3 linked regions of the Arabidopsis thaliana genome follow. The protein of the gene in region 1 binds, or shares a complex with, the protein of each later gene. Each region holds a gene or a part of one and is shown in the gene's direction. Other genes may lie near its edges. The genes, in order: RPL27, AT5G65220 and PSRP5.

Region 1 (7,162 bases):
GGATCCGTAAATCACGACGTATCCGTCGTCAAAAACAGGAGAATCTTGGACTACGACGTTGTTGATCGAAGTTTTACCTCCGAATCGTGAAGAATTCGTGACGGTTAGAGAGTAATTAGATCTGAGAGTAGGGATTTTGGCGCCATTTGGGAGGTTTCTTAAGGTTTCTCCTGGGAGTCTCGTCGGAGAGAGCTGGTACTTCATATCGAGAAGCGAAGGTTGACCAAACTTAGAGAAAGATTGATCAGAAGGTGCGAAGAGGGTGAGTTCTTGCCAATCTTCGAGGTTTAGATCTTGATTCGCGAGCTTTAGTGTGAGTCCCATGGATAAGTAGCCGGAATCGGAAAGAACTTCCACGGCGGATGAAACAGATGTCATAGAAGTTGCGACGAGATCGATATCGAGAACGAAAAATATGAGGAAGAAGGTCGTTAGAAGCTTCGACGCCATTGATGCGTTCTTCGAGCTTTTTTTTTCGTTTGGTTTCAGAGAAAAGCCGTTGCAGAGGAAGTTACAGTTTTTATAGTCCGTCCTATTAAGAGAGGGAAAATATTTACTGGGCTTTTTATTCATAGGCCCATGTGTTTTTTTGTCAACAGGCCCATATGTTTTTTTCTTTTTTAGTTTTCAGTTTTTCACATTTTCCCTCCCGCTTCTTTTTCTTATTTCCCTCTCTAAAAACAAGAAAACATTTTTACATTTTCCCTCCTAAATCTCCAAATTTTCAGAATAAATATCTCAATTACAAATCCATGATAATCCACACAACAATAAACACTCATCGATTAAATCTTCTTCACCGGAAAAAATGCCTTCGATGCCAGAGGAACCAATCCTAACACCAACACCAGATCGATTCTGTATGTTCCCAATCCAATACCCACAGATTTGGGAGATGTACAAGAAAGCCGAAGCATCCTTCTGGACAGCCGAAGAAGTCGATCTCTCTCAAGACAATCGCGACTGGGAAAACTCACTAACCAACGACGAACGTCACTTCATTAAACACGTCCTCGCCTTCTTCGCCGCATCAGACGGAATCGTTCTCGAGAATCTCTCAACTAGATTCATGTCCGATGTTCAGATCTCAGAAGCTCGTGCCTTCTACGGATTCCAAATCGCGATTGAGAATATTCACTCCGAGATGTATAGTCTCCTTCTCGACACGTATATCAAAGACAACAAAGAGAGAGATCATCTTTTTCGTGCAATCGAAACCATTCCTTGTGACGAAAAAAGCAGAATGGGCTATGAAATGGATCAACGGATCTCAAAGCTTCGCTGAGAGAATCGTAGCGTTTGCTTGCGTTGAAGGTATATTCTTCTCCGGTAGCTTTTGTTCGATATTCTGGTTGAAGAAACGAGGTTTAATGCCTGGACTCACTTTTTCAAACGAATTGATTTCGAGAGACGAAGGTCTTCACTGTGATTTCGCTTGTTTGATATATAGTCTTCTTAGAACTAAGTTTGATGAAGATCGTTTGAAAGCGATTGTTTGTGATGCTGTTGAGATTGAGAGAGAGTTTGTTTGTGACGCGCTTTCTTGTGCCTTGGTTGGGATGAATCGTGAGTTGATGAGTCAGTACATTGAGTTCGTTGCTGATAGGTTGTTGGCTGCGCTTGGGTGTGGTAAGGTGTATGGTGTGACTAATCCTTTTGATTGGATGGAATTGATTTCGCTTCAGGGTAAGACCAACTTTTTTGAGAAGAGAGTTGGTGAGTATCAGAAAGCTTCTGTTATGTCTAGTGTTCATGGAAACGCTGCGTTTAATGATGATCATGTCTTCAAGCTTGACGAGGATTTTTAGATTTTGCTTACTTGCTTTATTTTTAGTTTTGTAATTTTCAGTATAATGAAAAACAGATGAAGTTTAATTTGATAATGGACATTTAATTTCTTAATTATTTAACATAGTTTTTACATGGTTAACATATAACTAATCCGGATCCTAGTAATTACATGGGTCTACCCAAATCCAAAAAGGATTGGAGCCAATGACTTTGCTATATATTTCGTTCTTAAGAACATTGCTAGGTTTCTAGCTATATTGGTTTTGCCTCTTTATTGGCAGAGGGAGCACAAAGAGAATCCTCCCCTTTCGACATAAAAATGTTATTTTCTCATGGTCTTTTGGATGATTAGCAAGACTTACTCTTAAGTTTTTGCATAAGTATCTTACATCACTTTCTAACTCAACCTTCGAAATATGCATTTGTTTCAAACAATCCAGTGTTCATTTCCAAGTAGGTGTAGTGACTTATGATAAGAAAGCATGTCGATTATGGTAAAAATATTTTAGTGGCTGTTCACAATAATTCTATGAGAGAGAATCATTAGTAGGCAAATTGAATAGGAAACAGACATGATATCAAATTCTTTTGAAGGCAGAAAGAAATGAAAATATAGAAAACATAACTAAAAGAGAATAAACAACCAATTACCATTTACCGTTCCAAAGACCTTCATCGTCGAATTTCAAGAACAATGAAGGTCTTTGAAAGATACTTTTGTCAATAAATATGAAAACCATAAACAATTAGTAGAGATGAGAGATCACTATAACTCTCCTATGACTTTCCATCCAATCAAAAAGAAAAGTTTGTGTCCATGTCTCTATAACTCTATCCAACTTCTTTAAGATAAGATCATTTTCTCGCTTATTACACCAAGTATACAGCGGACCATGGGATGATAGGTCTCAAACAAAGCAATAGTTTACCACTGATTGAAAGTCTCTCATTCCATTGGTATAATAGGGTTGTCTTCAGCTCTAGAATGCTCCACAAGTTCTAAAATCTCATTAAAATCTCCAAACATTATTTAAGGCTTGCTACTAATGACAGGAGAGTCATAGTGATCTCTCATCTTGTTCATAATACTTTTTTCTCCTCTAACCAACTAGACAGTCTATGAAACTCAAATAATATAATTTTTAATTTTCGGTCAAAACTGTAAAAACATGTCAAAATCAAATAATATTTTTTTTTTGCCAAATCAGAAAATTACATTTTTCCGCCAATGTAAAAATAATTTTTAGAGTGACATTGTCAGTATAAATCCTAATTTATGTTTTAATATTATAGCTAAAGTCTATAATTATTTTTGGCTGCTTCTTGCATATTATTATTCTAAGTTTGGTTTTTGTTTTTATCTGAGAAATTTCTACTATATAATGAATATTTGAAACTGTAGTCTATATATTTAGATTTAATATTTTATACAACAAGTTGATATGGCCGAGTTGGTCTAAGGCGCCAGATTAAGGTTCTGGTCCGAAAGGGCGTGGGTTCAAATCCCACTGTCAACATTCACTTTTTTCTCTTTTTCCATTATTTACTTGCTGACGTGTACTCACCTTATCTTACATTATTTGATGACGTGTAATTTTAGTGGTCACTAATCGAGAGAGTGAGACGAAACGATAAGGAGAAGAACTTCTTCTTCAACCTCAGAAAACCCTAATTTCTCCATTTCGAAACTCCAACGAATTCTCTGGTGATTTTACCAATGGCGATGGCAACATCGATGAGTTTGAATCTAATTGGGGCATTCAAAGGCTTGTCTCTTTCTTCGACTTCGTCTTTTCTTAGAGGCGATTTGAGTTTTTCCCCCAAAACCTCTTTCACGGTGACTCTTCCTCTGGAAAATCTTCAAGCTCCGATTCCGTTGACAATTGAATCGGCCCATAAGAAAGGAGCTGGTAGCACCAAGAACGGTCGTGATTCTCCTGGGCAACGACTCGGCGTCAAGATCTACGGTGACCAAGTTGCTAAACCTGGTGCTATCATTGTTCGTCAACGTGGCACTAAGGTAACACTTAAGAACACAGAATTGTTGAAATTGAGAACCTCTTAAGCTCCTCTTTCAATTCTCTTCTAATTTCACCGCAACTCTGTCAATTTGGTCAGTTTCTTATGGGTTTAGCTCTCAAGCTCTGTTTTCAGATTCCATTCTCGAACACATCTGGGTTTAGGATGAATTTTCGTATTTAGTAGCTCTTGTTTCTGATGCCATTGCCATTTCTCTGGAAGTTCTACGTTATGTTTGTGTTTAGGATGGAACTATATTGTTTGAGAAGATTGATTCATGAATGGTGATGTTTGGTGCAGTTCCATGCTGGGAAAAATGTTGGGATTGGTAAAGATCATACCATCTTCTCTTTAATCGATGGATTAGTCAAGTTCGAGAAGTTTGGTCCTGACAGGAAGAAGGTATACCTGTAGTTATACTGAGTAAGGTTTATAAGCTTTCTTAATCTTCTAGGATGTTAAAGGAAATGAGACTTGTTTTTGCAGATAAGTGTGTATCCAAGAGAAATTGTACCAGAGAATCCCAATAGCTACAGAGCAAGAAAGAGAGAAAACTTCAGATTGCAAAGGGAGAAGAAGAAGGCGAGACGCGAGAATTACTCGTACACACTTCCTACACCAGAACTTGTTCTTGCATCTGCCTCAGTCGATGATGCTGAAGCCAATCCGGAGTGCTAGAAGATTGAATGTGGAGTTTCCTTGTCTCTTTTTGTTTAGTCTTGTTTATGAAAAATGATCCTTTCAGAGTATTAAGAGTTGGTTGTATTGTCGAATCCAAGCCTCTCTTTTGTCAAATTGAGTCCCAAGCAGGCGGATTTTTACCCAACTTGAGTTATTAGTGTAATCAAATGGTTATTGTTAATTAGTCAAAGCCTCAAAGGTTTTAATTTAGTGAATTTCTCTTCCAACTTAGTAATTCTGAATCATTGATAAGAGAGACCACCAAACCTTTGAATGCCCCAATTAGATTTAGTCAAGTATAAATCTAGTTCAAGTGTCTATTTGAGGTTTTTTTATTATAAAAATTATAAAACTTATTTGGATCCCAAAAATGGATCCATTGTTAGTCTAAGAAGCCGAAGACTTTATGGGCCTTCTAGCGAAATAATGGGTTTTAGCCCAATTACTTAGCATTTCGGAATATGTAGATAGTGGTACAAAAAAGAAATTGAATAATATTCATTTTCGTCTATCATTGCATAATTAGTGGAATGAAATTATTATTCTATGTTTTTTTTTTTTCATTTATCTATATCTTGCTCATCTTGAATCCATCAATTTCGCTAACGTTTTACCTGTACCATATTAGATCCTTTGTGTTATCTTTAGGCCATATTTCACCAGCTTGAGGTCAAATACTTATACACATGTATGTAACGATATATATATGTAAGATGACGATATATTATTGAATAACACTAAAGGCCTAGAGCAAAAATAGTAATTGATGAGAAGTTTTAAATTCTAGGAGCAGTAATTAAGAAGAAGAACAAAGACAAATCCTAAAACAAAGCATATCAGTAGTAAAACCTTGTAGCACAAAGCAGAGAGGCACATACATGAGTGTAATAAATGAGCTATGCATAGACATGGACGTTGAGAACAACGAGAAAGAGGATAAGAAAGAGACCATAGAGAACAGTGTGAACGAAAATAGAAGCTACCGTCGTCTTCATGTTCATGAAACCCACCGGAGATTCTTTCCCCGGAAACTGCAGTATCAACCCTGGCGACAGAAACGCGAACAAAGCCGAAGCTATCAACGGTGCAGCCCAATCATGCATCTCTTCTTACAAGAACAAGAACAAAAGAAAAAGAAAAAGAGAAATGGAGAAAGAAAGAAGAGAGTGGGAAATAGGTTTGGATGGGTGAAAAAGGAGATGATGGAATTGTGAGAATGAGAATCTGATAAAGTCTAGTTCTTTACAATTAAAGGAAGAGAGAGATTTTTTGGAATTTTGCTTTAGGTGAGGTGTCTTAATTTAATCGTAATTGGCTATCGAAGGAGAGTTTGAATTTGAAACGATTCTAGCTTAAGCATATCAAATGCTCGATTGTATTAGAATAAACATGGTTTGAGCTGTATATCTATTCTATGCGGTTTGAGCGGTTTGAGCGGTTTAACCAATTTACGTGGTGCAGTTTTGCCTTTGGAAGAATAACTTTCAATAATATAATTGTACTCTGTTTTACAATTAAGCAATGTAAAAACAGAAGAAAAATAAACAATGTATGTAATTTGTAGAGAAACGGTTCTATGTCACATTCAAAATCCTATGTGATTCACATGAATAGCGACATATCTTTCGGTGATCAATAAATGTACACGCCACTTTTCGAAATACGTTTGGAGGAATTTTGTTATTTTATTACTTGGAATGTATTCTTGATTAGTAGAATTTGTTTGACTTGAGAAGACTAAATTAGATTACAAGTAACGGGTCCACCACTTGCTAAGCGACCAATATATTCCGTAAGAAGAGAACAATATTTCTCCACTTTTTTTTCCTACTAAAAACAAAAATTCAACTTTTTTATATAGTTATTGTACACTTTTCATATCTCCAAAATTTAGTATTTATAATTTTTTTTGGTGACTATAAAATCAAGACGATATAAATCTTAGTAATTTGTTTGACAAATATATTTTTTCCATCCCGAAATGCTAATCTTTTTACTTTCTAGTGGGCAATATATACGAGATTATCTCAAAATTGTAACAAAAAATAATAATGTTGGAATTAACTCAAAATAAATATGAAGAAAATAAAATAAGAATTGGGCTTAGCTCAGCTTTTCTTCTTTGTTTCAACTTTCAAGTCTCTGTTTTTGACTCTTTTACTCTCTCTCACGAGTCACGCCACCGCTTTATCGAAAAAAGGCGTCTGCTTTTACGTTTTCTACTTCACAGCAATGGCGGATTGGGCTCCAGTTCTCGTCGGAGTTGTATTATTCGTTATCCTTTCTCCGGGACTTCTTTTCTCGTTGCCCGGACATCACCATACTCTCCAATTCGGCGGCATGAAAACCAACGGCAAAGCCATCGCCGTTCACACACTCATCTTCTTCGCTGCTTACACCATCTTGATCCTCGCTGTCAATCTCCACATCACTACCGGCTAATTTATGGGCCGAAATAAAGGTAACCCTTTTGCTGAATCTGAGCTCTCTCCCTCTCAGGAATCTTCTGAGATCTGGAACTCTGTTTTTAGGGATTTGTATACTTTACTCTGTTCTCTAGTTTGTGTTGTGCATTGAGTTAATACTGAAAAATGTAATAATCATTAAGCTTGTATTGATGTCATTAAGTTATAATGCAAAATTTGATGTTTGATTCCATCTTTGCTATTGA
Region 2 (7,189 bases), 9.7 Mb from region 1:
GCGTGAAGACAAAAATCACCGAGAAACCACAGAAACAAATAGAAAAAATAGTTAAATATATAAAACAAATATAAAATAACTGCGTCAAAGGTCTCATTTAAGTTGTCGTGATTCTTCTTCCTTCGTCTACTTGAAGATGATGAAACCTGAGTTTCTGAGACAGAAGGAAGAGCTTTTAACATCCCTTCTGTTTATGGTCGGATTCCAACTCCGGACTTCTTGGCTTTAACCCTTTACGTCCGATCTTGTCGCTGAAATCTTTCTTTCTCCTTTTACATGGTTTTCACGACGACAAAAGTTTGCCTTTTTCTAGTTGCTGCCTTGACTTCAGATAGCATCACAAGGTTCGGCTTCAGATAACATCACAAGGTTTGATTGACTTTGCTCTGTTCTAATCTAATCTTGTTAATATCTTAAAAGCCTAAAACTTTTCTCTTATTGATTGTTTTGGTTAATTTTGTTTCCCCTTTTTTTTGTTGTATTTACTCGATTGATTACTTCAATATGATTTTCTGGTTTGCTTGGAATTTAAGCTGGAAGGAACTGATTCGAATATTTCTTGCATAAGAAGATGTTTCAATCTACCTATCTATTGACTTCATGATTGGCTTTTGCTTTTATTGTTGATATCTCTTACTATCTTGATTTCACCTTTCGTTACCATTTGCGTACAAAAATTTAACAAAGCAATGAATGGGAATTTCTTATTTTTTGTATAGTCGTTTTAACTGCTAAACTATGTTAAGTTGGTCCACACAATTAGGTGCTGAAAATAAAGTGACATCCTAATAAGTGGAAACTTGACTTATGGAGCTTTTCGTCTGCTTAACATTAATTTTTATCATCTTATCTATTTGACACCTTCCAAACACTATTGGGGAAATGGCTTCTTCTCTTTTTTCCGGTGTAGGTTTAAGGTTTTAGATTTGAAGGCGGATGGTGAGGAGTTTGTGTTGATGAAATGGGTGATTTGAAGTTAAATCCTTTAAGTTCTTTTAGCCTTAAGTTCTTTTAGCCTGTCATTACAATATATGTTTCAGTTGTGATCTTTTGGTGCTCTCCAAGGTCTTAGGGAATCTCCGTGTCCCCTCTGGTTTCTTTCTTTGTATAAAGTCTCTGGAATTTAAAGATGATTTTGTCCTGTTTTCTTCGAAGAATTTGGCGAAGAAACATCAAAAGTTCACTATTTGCTTTACGTGTTATGCTTGTTTGACTTTGTGTGATCTAACTTTTGGTTGAAAACTAATGCTCATCTTTTGTTCTTTGGAATGTCTTGATCTGCTTGATTTTGAATGCTTTGTCACATTGTTTAAACAATTTGTTCTTTGTTTTCAGTTGAGGAAAACATGAATTCGACATCGACACATTTTGTGCCACCGAGAAGAGTTGGTATATACGAACCTGTCCATCAATTCGGTATGTGGGGGGAGAGTTTCAAAAGCAATATTAGCAATGGGACTATGAACACACCAAACCACATAATAATACCGAATAATCAGAAACTAGACAACAACGTGGTACTTTTTTACTTCATTGCTCTTCAACCTCCTGATGATAAATTTGTTTGGTCTGTTTTCAGAAATTTAAACTAGCTTTCATTTCTTGACAATCTTTTTTTTTTTTTTATAGTCAGAGGATACTTCCCATGGAACAGCAGGAACTCCTCACATGTTCGATCAAGAAGCTTCAACGTCTAGACATCCCGATAAGGTTAGCTATTCAAATACTTCTCTATCAGTTTCTTAATCATAAATTTCTACGCATCATATAGACTAAATCGTTATATCGTTACAGATACAAAGACGGCTTGCTCAAAACCGCGAGGCTGCTAGGAAAAGTCGCTTGCGCAAGAAGGTATGACTTCATTTTCTTCCCCTTGGTAAACTGTTTCTGTTTGCCTAATGAGTTGAGAGATTTGATTGTTTTTTTTTTTTGCAGGCTTATGTTCAGCAACTGGAAACAAGCAGGTTGAAGCTAATTCAATTAGAGCAAGAACTCGATCGTGCTAGACAACAGGTTAATGAAATGAAATCTAAATATATATTCGCTTTCTTTCGAGTTCCAAAATATAATGCAATTTCTGATTGAATATGAATGTTTTCAGGGATTCTATGTAGGAAACGGAATAGATACTAATTCTCTCGGTTTTTCGGAAACCATGAATCCAGGTTTTGAATCAAGAACAATGAGTCTTTTGGAAAAAATATAGAATTCAAGATTTTGATTGGTGGAAGCTTATTTGATTTGCAGGGATTGCTGCATTTGAAATGGAATATGGACATTGGGTTGAAGAACAGAACAGACAGATATGTGAACTAAGAACAGTTTTACACGGACACATTAACGATATCGAGCTTCGTTCGCTAGTCGAAAACGCCATGAAACATTACTTTGAGCTTTTCCGGATGAAATCGTCTGCTGCCAAAGCCGATGTCTTCTTCGTCATGTCAGGGATGTGGAGAACTTCAGCAGAACGATTCTTCTTATGGATTGGCGGATTTCGACCCTCCGATCTTCTCAAGGTATAAAACAAATAACAATCTAGCGTAATGTTTAATGAATAGAAGGAAACAAGCAAGATTACAATGTTTCAAATGTTTTTTTTTGTAGGTTCTTTTGCCACATTTTGATGTCTTGACGGATCAACAACTTCTAGATGTATGCAATCTAAAACAATCGTGTCAGCAAGCAGAAGACGCGTTGACTCAAGGTATGGAGAAGCTGCAACACACCCTTGCGGACTGCGTTGCAGCGGGACAACTCGGTGAAGGAAGTTACATTCCTCAGGTGAATTCTGCTATGGATAGATTAGAAGCTTTGGTCAGTTTCGTAAATCAGGTAAAATATATATATTCAAACTCATTTGAAAATACTATAGTATCAGTTTCTTGATTTTGTTTGTTCATTCTTAGGCTGATCACTTGAGACATGAAACATTGCAACAAATGTATCGGATATTGACAACGCGACAAGCGGCTCGAGGATTATTAGCTCTTGGTGAGTATTTTCAACGGCTTAGAGCCTTGAGCTCAAGTTGGGCAACTCGACATCGTGAACCAACGTAGGTTTGAGTTATTTTGTAACAACCAAATGAAGAAAATGGAAAGACCTCAAAAAATGAAGAATGAGTGCATCTGAAAACAGAGGACTACTCTGAATAAATAGAGGGGTTGCTGCTGATATTTATTTTTACTCTGCGGCGGAATTAGAAAATTTGAAAAACATCATGTATTGATAAGTTGTAAATATCAGAAAAAGGTGGGGGTGCAAAAATTTGTACTTTTTAGCTTTTGAAAGAGGCAAGTTTTTCGAATGTTTGTTTGATTTGTAAACAATTTCAGAATTATATAAACTTGGTTCCAAATCCCCTGTAATAATGTCGAGCTATCTGCAATTTGAAAACTATAGGGGCTTTACTTAATTTTACGTTTTGTGTGACACCTATTTGATTTTTTTTGATACGTTTGGACCAGTTTCGTAATTAGAGGTAAATAAAGGGGCAAATAGTAAGATATAAGAAAAGCCTTATCTCATAGAGTTTCTTCTCTTCATTATCCTCAAAATCGCTCGAGAGTGAGAACTCTGCTCTTCTTCTTCTTCCTCCGCCATAGCTACAATGCTTAGTCTCTCAATCGCTACGCCGGGGACGGCGGCGATTTTTCGTAGAGGAACTGCTTCGGCGACTTCAACTTCGTCTTCATTCCATGGTGTCAGAATCCAGCACCAGGTTTCTGCTCGCGTCCCCGCGGCGGCGACGATATCGTCGTCGTCTCCTAAACCGTCGGTGGTGATGATGTCGAAAAGAGAGGCGGAATTGAAAGAGATAAGATCGAAGACGACGGAGCAGTTACAAGAGGAGGTTGTTGACCTTAAAGGTGAGCTCTTTATGCTTCGTCTCCAGAAATCGGCAAGGAATGAGTTCAAATCTAGCGACTTTCGTCGTATGAAGAAACAAGTAAGCTTTTTTCTTACTCTTTAATGCAGAATTATTCCAAATTGTGAAATCTACTTTGTGTTATCTGGTCGATTTTGGCAGTCTTTGAAAGGGTTTAACAAAATTGGGATATGTGGTTTATTGATGGAAACATTGAAATCATCACCATGGAAAATAGGATTATTTAATATGAAGTTGTAGAAGATGTTAGCGAACTCTATAAGCAATGTTTTGTGTTGTTTGTTCTACACATTATAGTTGATTCTAAACTCTAACAATGGCAACATTGTAAGTTACTGTTTTGTGATATCTAATACTGTTTTTGGTAGGTGGTGGAATGGAATTAGAGATTTAATATTGAGTTCAATCCATCCCCTTTTATAGATTCTTGCACACAAGCTTCGAATATGTTCTTAGGATACTACGGTTTCAGTTAGACATGAATGTTGAGCTTTGCGATATCGTTTGTTTAGTCTTTTAAGTGTGCCAATGCACCAAACTAGCTTTAGATGAGAATTTACTTGCTTTGGTTTTACTGATTGCTGGGATTTCAATCAGACATGAATCTTGAGCTCTAAGTGACTAATCCACCCAACTTAGCTGGAGATGACACTAAATTCAAGTAGAGATTTCTTGGTTTTTTTGGCTTACGTCCGTCTCTTTTCTGGTACTGAAGATGTGATCTTTTGGTTGTGGGTGATTTAGGTTGCTCGGATGTTGACGGTTAAAAGAGAGAGGGAGATCAAAGAAGGGATAAAGAAAAGGTTGTCGAGGAAACTTGACAGACAATGGAAGAAAAGCATAGTACCAAGACCACCTCCGTCTCTGAAGAAACTTCAAGAAGAAGAAGCTGCAGAAGAAGCAGCTGAAGCTGCTAAATCTGCTTGAAAAAACCCGCTATTGATTTATGGTCTCTTCCTTGTTGTTTCCTCGAGATGTTGTTAATCTCTGTTATTTGTTGCTGAACCATCTTGTATTTGTTTTTCTTTTGGTGTAAACACTTTCCTTATCAAGTAGTTTACATGAATCCCTTAAAGATTGAAATCGTTCCTTCATGTTTCATCAGAATTATCATCCAATCTGACAAAGAAACTAGTAATCATTCGAAGTTCGAAAAACATCAAATAAGAATAAAGATAAATAAATAAAAGGAAAAATCCAAAACATTGGCGGGAAAATTAGGAATTTATTGAGGAATCAATGGTGGGCTTAGAAATAGAATGGTGCGTTAAAGTTTCTGTCTTTGTGTGCGTAGATGAGGTATTCGGTGGTAGATTCCGGCTGGGTTTGGATTTTTTTTCCGGCGAGTCTATGAGGTAAAGTGATATTTCTTACAGATTTTAAGGATTCAACTAATACGATTATGTTTCCGATGATGTTTCTTGTTTGGGCATGAAACCCTAGATTTCAGCGATTCACTTTCAAAATAAAATCCGTTTATGCAATCGAATGTAGTAGAAAAATCTCATCTTGGTAAATCTCATTGAGACTTCATTGTTAGTTTTTTTTGTTAGTCAACCAACAATGGGTTTGGTTTTTGTTTTACTATTTTTGTCCTTTTCTTATTAGTATATTGAAGATCTGGCCAATAATTTTTCTGACTCAGTGGTGTTGAAATCTTCTTTCAGAAGTGGGGACTAGTGATAAAATAATCTCAAATTAGTAGTTTCTTCTCTTTGTTTTTTCTTTTCTTAAAAGTTTGAATACGACTGATATAAACATAGTTCAATAAGAAGTCATGTTTCGTTTACTAGTAGTTTGCTATCGAGGCTGCTATATATGAGTTCTTGACAGGTATGTAGTCATTTCTGGAAGCCAACAAACCTGTGAGATACTGAGATGGTTGTTAATTTAATGTTTTTGATTTGAGATCGATGCTCTTGTTAACTAGCAGTAGTAGATTTTCACATGTTGATTTCTCATTACCATTGTAGTTGGATAACAAAACTGTTGATATAGCAATGATCGGACCACGATGATTCACCTAATACCTTATATTACAATTAAGTCAAAAGATCTATCTGCCCACAACTATTTTAAATGACTAATGGTCAAAACTGTGTTTTTTTTTTAGTGCAAAGTTTATCTGAAGTTGAGTTTGACAGCTGCATTGTGCTGTTCACATACATCAGTTTACACTTATCCTGCATTTTAAACTGACCAAAAGTCGTCAACTTTTCAGCGTAGATTTGTGAGCTATGCGGTGTTATGTTAAGTACAAGAGACTTGAGACAAAAATTGCATATCTAAAGGTGATTTATGAGATTTGCATATGAATAGCTTTGTATGTTTTATTTGTAACTATTTTTCTGAAGACCTGTCTTACCAACTCCAGTCATGTGCTTTGCACAGCTTTCTATGATGCTTTTGACACGATTATTTTATTATGTAAGTGTCTTACGTATAGTGTTCATGCAAAGATCTTTGGTACTTCTGGATCACAACATGTGACTTGCTTTTCATGCAAAAAGCTTCCTCCATGTTTGTCTTGGTCTTCTGCTTTCGTGAAAAGTCCATACTCTTTAGCCTGTTTTACTTCAACTACTATTTCCTTAAAAGCAACAAATGTTATTTATGCAGGTATTTTGGATTTTCTTTTTGTCTTCTTCTTGATGCCTGTGAAGGTAAAGATGAACAAGACCGACTCTCTTAACTTCCAGAGGTTTGTTGATGCTTCTGCCCAATCTTTTTTGTTCATTTACTATCCACTAGTTTCAGGCTTTGATTCATTTCATGAAGCAATTGTGATTCTAACATGATTTCAAGCTTTTAAAATTCTCCTCTTGATTAAGGAAAGCAGAACTTTTAGACTTTTTGTATCTTGTCACCTTAAATGGTCCTTTTCTTTTAACTTTGTTTTCTAGCTTACACTAACTGTCCCCTTTTTCTAGATGGTGATGCATATACATATGTACAATCTCTTAAGCTTGATAAAACATATAGATAGTTATTCTCTATGAGCATTTCGACTGACTAGTGCTATCATTATAAAAATGCAGTTTGCTTGGCTTAGACCAATATGTTTAAGGTGGATTGTCCAAGTCCTTTAGAAAGCCTTCAGTAAGAACGGTAATAGGCCTTTTTTTGCTTGTGTTCACTTCTTATATCAAAGTCAGACCAATGTGTTGATATAAGCACTACTTGCATGATTGCATCATTCTCATTTGGATTGAATCTGAAGATTATTTTGGTTGGTTCTTACCTCCTTGTGCCTTTTCAGCTTCTTGGATCTTCTATGGAGATGTCCTTGTTCGG
Region 3 (7,050 bases), on another chromosome or scaffold:
CTGAAATGCTATGACTTGGACTCAAAGGAATCCAAGAGCGATTTCATTAATGACCAAAACCTATGTGATAAATCTTCTCCAGGTTATGAAAATGTGAAAGAAACGAAAGCAAAGTGGAAAATGTCAGGACTTACATTGCTTCCTCTCCAAACTTGATAGAGCCTCTTGAGTTTGGTCTCATTCCAAGCCATAGCTGAGGGAAAACAAAAGACAGAGAGAAGAAAAGCTCCAAAAGTGAAGAAATTTGAAAGAACCCACAATCAGAAACCCATCGGAGAATCCACGGACAATGATGATGAGATCAGATCAGAGATCAGAATCAAGAAAAACCCCCAGAAACGGAAAACAAAATCTCTTCTTTCCTTGAAGAAAAAGATTAACAATATGAAAACACTCGAATTTGATTTGTAGTTCGAGAGGGAGAGAGACAGGGGATAATGGAAGCTGTCGTCTCTCTCACTCGAAAATCACAAAGAACTATTTTCGCTGTTTTGCAAAATTGCGATCTCTTTTGCCCCTTTTCTCTTTTCTCTTTCCTTTTTCTTTTGGTAATAAATATATTTTTTATTCCAATCTCATTACCGAATATTCAGACAGGAGTAAATGAGATAATGGGGACAATGTATGTAATTAGGACAAGTGATTACGCTAATAGGAGGATGTCTGTTCGAACTAAGAAGGAATAATTTCTTGTTTAACTTAGATTTTTATTACTTAAAAATATTGTTATTTCATTGGTCGGCCAACTATATCTATAAATATTATTAGATAAATAGAATGATGCAACAATGAGCTGGTGAAGCCAAGTCAAATCATCTCTCAATCAAACGTGCTTCACACCTAGATTTTTTCCATCATTTGTGTTTTTCTTCATCTTCTTTCTTCTTTTCCTTTTATAAATGCTTCACTTCTTCGATTATTTTTGTAATTAGTTTGTTCTATGAATGCTTTCAGCAAAAAAAAAGAAGAAGAAGAAGTCAATTTGATTAAAGATCTCACAAAAATAAGATGAGATATTATTGTTATATATGTATATAGCTTTTGCTCAATTGGTAAAGTATTTTGAGCTTTTTTATATATAGAAATAGAATATTAAACATATCAACGAATCATCATCATCTCTTCACATCCCTCTGTCTCTTTGTTTTCTCTATTGGCAAATTTTTCTTCTTTTCTTATAAACCCCTTACCGTAAGACCTAAGAAACACTATACATTATATGAACCCTAAAAAGAAAGATGGAGACAATAATAAACACCAAATTGAATTACCTGTAACGCAAGAAACGATTATTTATGTACACCAATTCTCCTAATTCCTATTCTTAATGGGAAAAAGTTTAAAACTCATCTTGACGAGTAAAGAGAGAAAGAGAGCTACATGGCTTTGAATTACAAAAGTAGATTTTACACCTGTTTGTCCTTTACTTTGGCCTATCTTGATCTCACTTCCACGCTCGAGCTTCTCCTTGTTTTCCGCTGGTTCTTGGTAGACCAAAGCAGTCGTTGTGGCGTCTTCATCCATACTTATCTCTTGACAGCCGTGCCACCGTTGTTACCGTTCTCTAGCTTCGGAATCAGACTTTCCACTGCTCATTTTCGTGTCTTTTGGACCAAAGGCTCTGACTAGCTCAGAGGCTATGGATCCAACCTCCACATCGTCTTCTTCTTCTGGCGACCAATCTCTGAAATTGATCAAAGGTGGTGGAATTTTTGCAAAGAATAGCTCCTTGAAGTTCTCTAAGATCCCCTTTCGGTAAGGGTTTTCCTTCTTGTCGTAATGGTACCGAAAATTCTCACAAGTCGTCTGCAAAACATAACAAGAGAATCAGACCAACAGTAAAAGCTACTTGGAAACTACGTTAAAAGCTAAAGAATCTTGCCTGGTTGGTGCAGATAAGGTAGAAGTGGAAGACAGTAAGTCCACCAACAAACCAAACGGAAACAAAGCAGTAGAGACCAAGAACACCTAATATTAAGTCATCAGCGAGAACAACATAGAATTCCCCATGGACTTTAAGCATGCTGACCCATGAGAAGACGAAAACGTAGATGCAGAGGAGTGTTGAACATGATAAGAAACAGACGAAGAATGGATAGTTACGCTGCAAAACAAAAGCCCGTAGATAACATATCAACTCATAGATCTTACTCAGTTCTTTGTCTAGGAAGTGAGAATTAATAGTAAGACTTACCAAGGCGATGCACTGACCAACCCAAGGACAGTGATGATCAAACCTTTGGACACAGTTATTGCAGATTGAGCAGTGAAAGGCACGAGGAGGACGATATAGCTGACAGGTATCGCAAAACTTCACTTTGACAGTGAAGCCATTCACCATTACATCTTTTGTTCGAGGTAGTTTCACACTTCCTAATTTGCTAGTCACCCATTCTGTCGATTGGGTGGTAACATCAGGAATCTCTGCCTCAGACACTTGTTTGTTCCTTGGGATAATCCCGGGGTCTCTCGATGATGTCAAGAAGAGAAAAGTGAAAGCCTAGATAAAAAGTAAGACGTAAGAAGATGCATGAATTTGGCTTAAGGTATGACTTGGCTTATGAAAGTAAGTAAATAGCAAAGCTTTATAGTTATACCATGAATGTGAGAAGAATTGCACCAATCAAAGTAAGAGAATGAAAGAAAGGGTGACGATGGCTTATCAAATAAGCCATCCTGATGGAGAAAGCGATAGCTGGCCCTCCTATCATACATGTGGTCAAAAGAAGTGACGATGCATCTGGACCAAACACTAGTCTTCCCCCACAGTAAAATTTCTGAAACACGAAAACAAATTGAGAAACTCCACTTCAGATGATGATTTCATATAGACAGAAGCTAGGATCTTGCTTTTGCTAAAATCATGTGTGAAACAATACACATAAAAATCTTAGACTATTTCCATTGAGAGAATCTTAAAAGCTCATGTTCTTCAAACTTTAGCACAGAGAGAAGCAGAGCATATATTAGTAACAAAATCAATTCCGAGCATCTTGAGGTATTTTCCTCATTCATGATTCTTATCTTCCAAAGTTAAAATCCTATAAAAATCCACAATGCGGTTTTAAAAATGTAAATTTGCTGTCAAATCATCAGAAGTCTTACATTTTTGGCGGGCCAAACTTGATAGATCCTTTGTCGTTCAAGATTCTGAGAAGACATAACGTTTTTCTTCGGGGAATGAAACTCAGAAATGTTATTCGCTTTGTTTCCAGTCTCAGAATCCGCGGCTAGACACGTCCTACAGCTCCATATCCAAGTTTCCTCAATTCACAGCCAAGCGAATGAAACCGGCGATATCCAAATCGTGCCGCCGATTGTGCGGATTTTGTTCTCCTTTCGTCTTCTGATTATGGTTTCTGTTTGATAGATTTGTTTCTTTCTCTCTCTCTCCCTTTCTCCATAGATTTGTCCTCCGCCATTGGAAGTTGCTCAAAACACCAACCAACATCATTCTCTGGAACAACCTTAACTTAGCCTTTCTCCCGCCAATCACACACTGGGACAGCCACGTGTCAACTCACAGTTCTATAAAAAGTACCCACTCCGGTTTATCTATTCAACCCGAATCAGGAAAAAGAAGCCGGTTCGTTTGATAATTTCTGTATTTAATTAAACCGGATTGAGCCGGATCAATCCAATCCGTTCGTTAAGAAGACACAGACAGAGAGAAGGAGAAAAAGCTTATCCACTATCAAATGAAAGTCTGAAGACAAATTCTTCCATTAGAAGAAGAAGATGGCTCTTCTCTGCTTCAATTCTCTCCCTTCTCTCTCTTCTCTTTCTTCTTCTTCTTCCTCGCGCCTTCTTCAATCTCCGTCTTTCGCTTCTCCAGGTAATGTCTTGTCACTCGTTTCTAGTCTTGACATTTCGCTTTTGCTTCGTTTTGTCGTGGAATTGTATCGGGAAAAAAAAAAAAACAATAGAGACCCATGGAACCAAATTGAAGCTCCTGGGCTAGTTCAATTTCTTGATTGTCCCAAAAAAGTGAAGTTTTGTTTTAGGGCAGTCAGGTTTTAAGCTTAAAGATCGAAGCATTTAATCGAACACTTGGTTTACTTGTAATGCTCTAATCTTTTGTGTTTCAGTTTTGAGCCTTAAACCCAACGCTGTCGAGTCCAAGAACAGAGTCTCTCTCAGTGCTTACAGCTTGAACTCTAGCCATGGAAGAATTGTGGTGAAGGCGGCTGCTTCTGGCGTGGACGGGGCTGAGCCTGAGAGCAAGGAGGAACCAAAGACTGTTGTTGCTGCTGTTCCAGTGGATAAACTACCGTTGGAATCGAAAGAAGCTAAAGAGAAACTGCTCTTGGAATTGAGGCTGAAGATGAAGCTGGCCAAAAAGATTAGGCTACGCAGGAAACGTCTGGTTCGTAAGCGTAAGATGAGGAAGAAGGGTCGATGGCCACCTTCCAAGATGAAGAAAAACAAGAATGTCTAAGTGACTCAACTGTTTGCTGCTTTTCGTATTCGTTTTTTGTAATGTTCTTTTTGGTGTTCAAAGACCATTAATGTACTTCAAATGCAACCATTGTTTTTGGATTTAACTTCAAAGCTGAGTTCTTTAAAGAAACCATTTGTATACAAAGAGTGAGCAGTCTACAAAATAGAACCAAAAAGTTTGAAACTTGCATTAAATTTGAACCATTTGGCTATTAAGGAAGAACATGTGAGCGGAAGATGAGAGGATAGGTGCAACAGAATCCGGTGCTCCAACACTGCAACAAGGTTTATTTGGAAGATTAATTAACTAACCGATTCTACCTGTATGAATACTTTGGCATGAAAAGAGACTTAATCAAGCATATGCCTTACCACAGAAAGGAGTGGACCTTGCTTGAACTTGTCATGGAATGAAAAGGAGAGAGCTTTCGGGTTTTCTCCAGGTCCTCTGATGAAACCGCTGTAATCATAAAAGCATCAGATTTTGTCTATCCATTTAGACAATGCAAAGATATACAAAAGGAGGTCAAGTCCGATGGAATGGATAACAGTAAGAGTTACTTACACTAGTGATGCTGATACAATAGGTGTCCTTCGTGTGTCGTAGATGGCAATCAATCCTTTGTAATTTTCATCGCCTCCTTTGTACGACACAGCCAATCGTTCTCCAGATGCATCCCATGCTATCTTCTCGATGCCCTCACTGGTTATTTCAGTTATGAAAGACAATATCAAGAAGTGATTAACGGAAGGCCTTTGCAAGGGTTTATTGAACAAAACAATCAAATAATTTACCAGCCAGTTAGAGAAGCAATCTCTGGCAATTCAACTGGTAATAGATGGGCATCTGAAAGTAAACCAAAACAGAGATTTAGTGTGCTAACTGGTAAGTATTTCTAGTAGTATAGGCAAAACGACTTCAAAGTTTCTGCATACCCAAGGATGGTGGCTTGGATGAGAAATGAACAGAGCCCAGTGTTGAAGATTTCGAAAACGAAATCAAGATAAACCGTCCTTCGGGATCCCATATCGCTCCCTATCATAGAAGGGAGTATAGTATTATTGCTTGGTCCATTTACGAAGATGGAACACAGTTGCAATTTCATACATAAAAGAAGGAAATGAATGCTTTAGTACAATGGAGTCATGTACATAAGCTATGCATACCACACTAGTGACGTTAACCTCTCCAACAAAACGCTTTTAACAATACTCTATTGCATATCTCACTATTATAGGCTCACGATCTTACCGTGACAGATCCAGATCCACTAGACAAAGACCAGGGTTCAGATGTCCATGTGTTTGTTTCCCAAAGACAAAAAGTCCCATCACTGTGACAGAAAAACATTTTATTAGCAATCATATCAAACAGGAAGCTACTTTCCACATCTGTAAAAAAGAAAGAGAGTTGATGTCCTACAATCTTGCTGCAAAGAAGTAGTCTCCTGTAGGTGACCATTTAAGCATTGATATTCCACCTAGTCCCCGTCTAATAGGTGTCCCTGCCCCTGGAAGATGTATACATATCACTTTCAGAAACAAGGAATTGCAAGATGCATTTTCTCATCTCAACGCAACAGATAGGATGTTAAATAAGAGGAAGCTGGATTAATGTTCAAACATTTGCATGATGTTGTGCATTAAGAAAGTGTTCTTAATTGTCGTTCTAGTTACCTTGAGAAACATCCCATATGGTGAAAGATGAACTGTCATATGAGGCTGATGCTAAATACGTGAAAATAGGTCAAGGAGTAACAGGATGGACAAAGTTAGGGATCCATGTGATGCAAAGACAGAAAAGATCGAACAAATCCAAATACTTTCCCAACAAATGCCTATCATGCGATGCGGCTTGATAAACAACTATGGTAATTGAAATGATCATGGAAACGTATGTAGTTAAGTAACAACTCCAAAATGAAGTTAAGCAAAACAGTTATAGCAGAAATTTTGTTTAGGATATCTTCCACAGGGGCTCCATGAGAGAGCACTAATTTGCTCATCATTTTGACACCGAAGAAAGTCCACCAAAATCCAACGAGTTCCAGATCCTCGAGAGAGACTTCCCCTCAATGCGGAACCACCAGATCTAACCAATGCCATGTTACCCGGATATGAAGCAGCCCATATGCATATTCCTCCCCTGTTTCAATGGAACAGTTATTACAGTAGAATCAAACTTAGTTATCTATGAAACTGGCTACTCTAGAAAGTAGACAGGATCAGAAGACCAATAATACACACCGACAGGCAATGGATAGGGATTTTCCACCATTTGGTCTCCACTCAAGGGCTTTAACATTTCTTTGTGAATCACTTGTCAAAATGCAAGGTTCTTTCTCATCTGTTCAAAAGAAGAATATGAAACTGTATGCACACACCGGCAAATGTGAACTAGGAATCCTGAATTGAATAAATAAAACAAACCTTTGTCCTCATAATCACGAATTGTAACTTGATTTGCACCGGATATAAAGGCAATAATATGCTTCCCTTGATGCCAACTCACTCCTTGAAGATCAATCTCTGAGAGTAGAGTTACCTAGAAAAGAAAAGGTGAGCAAGGCTGTGGCTTTATTAATAACAGCTATGATAATGCCATTTTGA

The links.
Region 2: RPL27 (region 1) and AT5G65220 share a complex: the UniProt entries of both Arabidopsis thaliana proteins name them as parts of the 50S ribosomal subunit.
Region 3: RPL27 (region 1) and PSRP5 share a complex: the UniProt entries of both Arabidopsis thaliana proteins name them as parts of the 50S ribosomal subunit.

The regions. Positions count from the first base shown.
Region 1 is NC_003076.8:16,407,358-16,414,519, forward strand, and holds RPL27 (ribosomal protein large subunit 27), read left to right. Parts: upstream 1-3,424; 5' UTR 3,425-3,508; coding exon 3,509-3,811; intron 3,812-4,110; coding exon 4,111-4,212; intron 4,213-4,296; coding exon 4,297-4,488; 3' UTR 4,489-4,757; downstream 4,758-7,162. Other genes in the region: FLA20 (putative fasciclin-like arabinogalactan protein 20), read right to left, coding at 1-573; AT5G40960 (transmembrane protein, putative (DUF 3339)), read right to left, coding at 5,388-5,594; AT5G40970 (hypothetical protein (DUF 3339)), read left to right, coding at 6,543-6,950.
Region 2 is NC_003076.8:26,057,685-26,064,873, forward strand, and holds AT5G65220 (Ribosomal L29 family protein), read left to right. Parts: upstream 1-3,480; 5' UTR 3,481-3,616; coding exon 3,617-3,955; intron 3,956-4,639; coding exon 4,640-4,822; 3' UTR 4,823-4,998; downstream 4,999-7,189. Other genes in the region: TGA1 (bZIP transcription factor family protein), read left to right, coding at 1,347-1,517, 1,630-1,710, 1,795-1,854, 1,939-2,016, 2,105-2,168, 2,251-2,522, 2,611-2,838, 2,913-3,065; AT5G65225 (uncharacterized protein), read left to right, coding at 5,246-5,250, 6,515-6,558, 7,116-7,189.
Region 3 is NC_003074.8:21,066,946-21,073,995, reverse strand, and holds PSRP5 (plastid-specific 50S ribosomal protein 5), read left to right. Parts: upstream 1-3,639; 5' UTR 3,640-3,738; coding exon 3,739-3,835; intron 3,836-4,088; coding exon 4,089-4,438; 3' UTR 4,439-4,585; downstream 4,586-7,050. Other genes in the region: AT3G56930 (DHHC-type zinc finger family protein), read right to left, coding at 135-191; AT3G56920 (DHHC-type zinc finger family protein), read right to left, coding at 1,555-1,806, 1,883-2,104, 2,195-2,500, 2,598-2,777, 3,106-3,162; AT3G56900 (Transducin/WD40 repeat-like superfamily protein), read right to left, coding at 4,653-4,715, 4,813-4,900, 5,006-5,143, 5,236-5,287, 5,377-5,476, 5,693-5,774, 5,864-5,951, 6,118-6,176 and 3 more.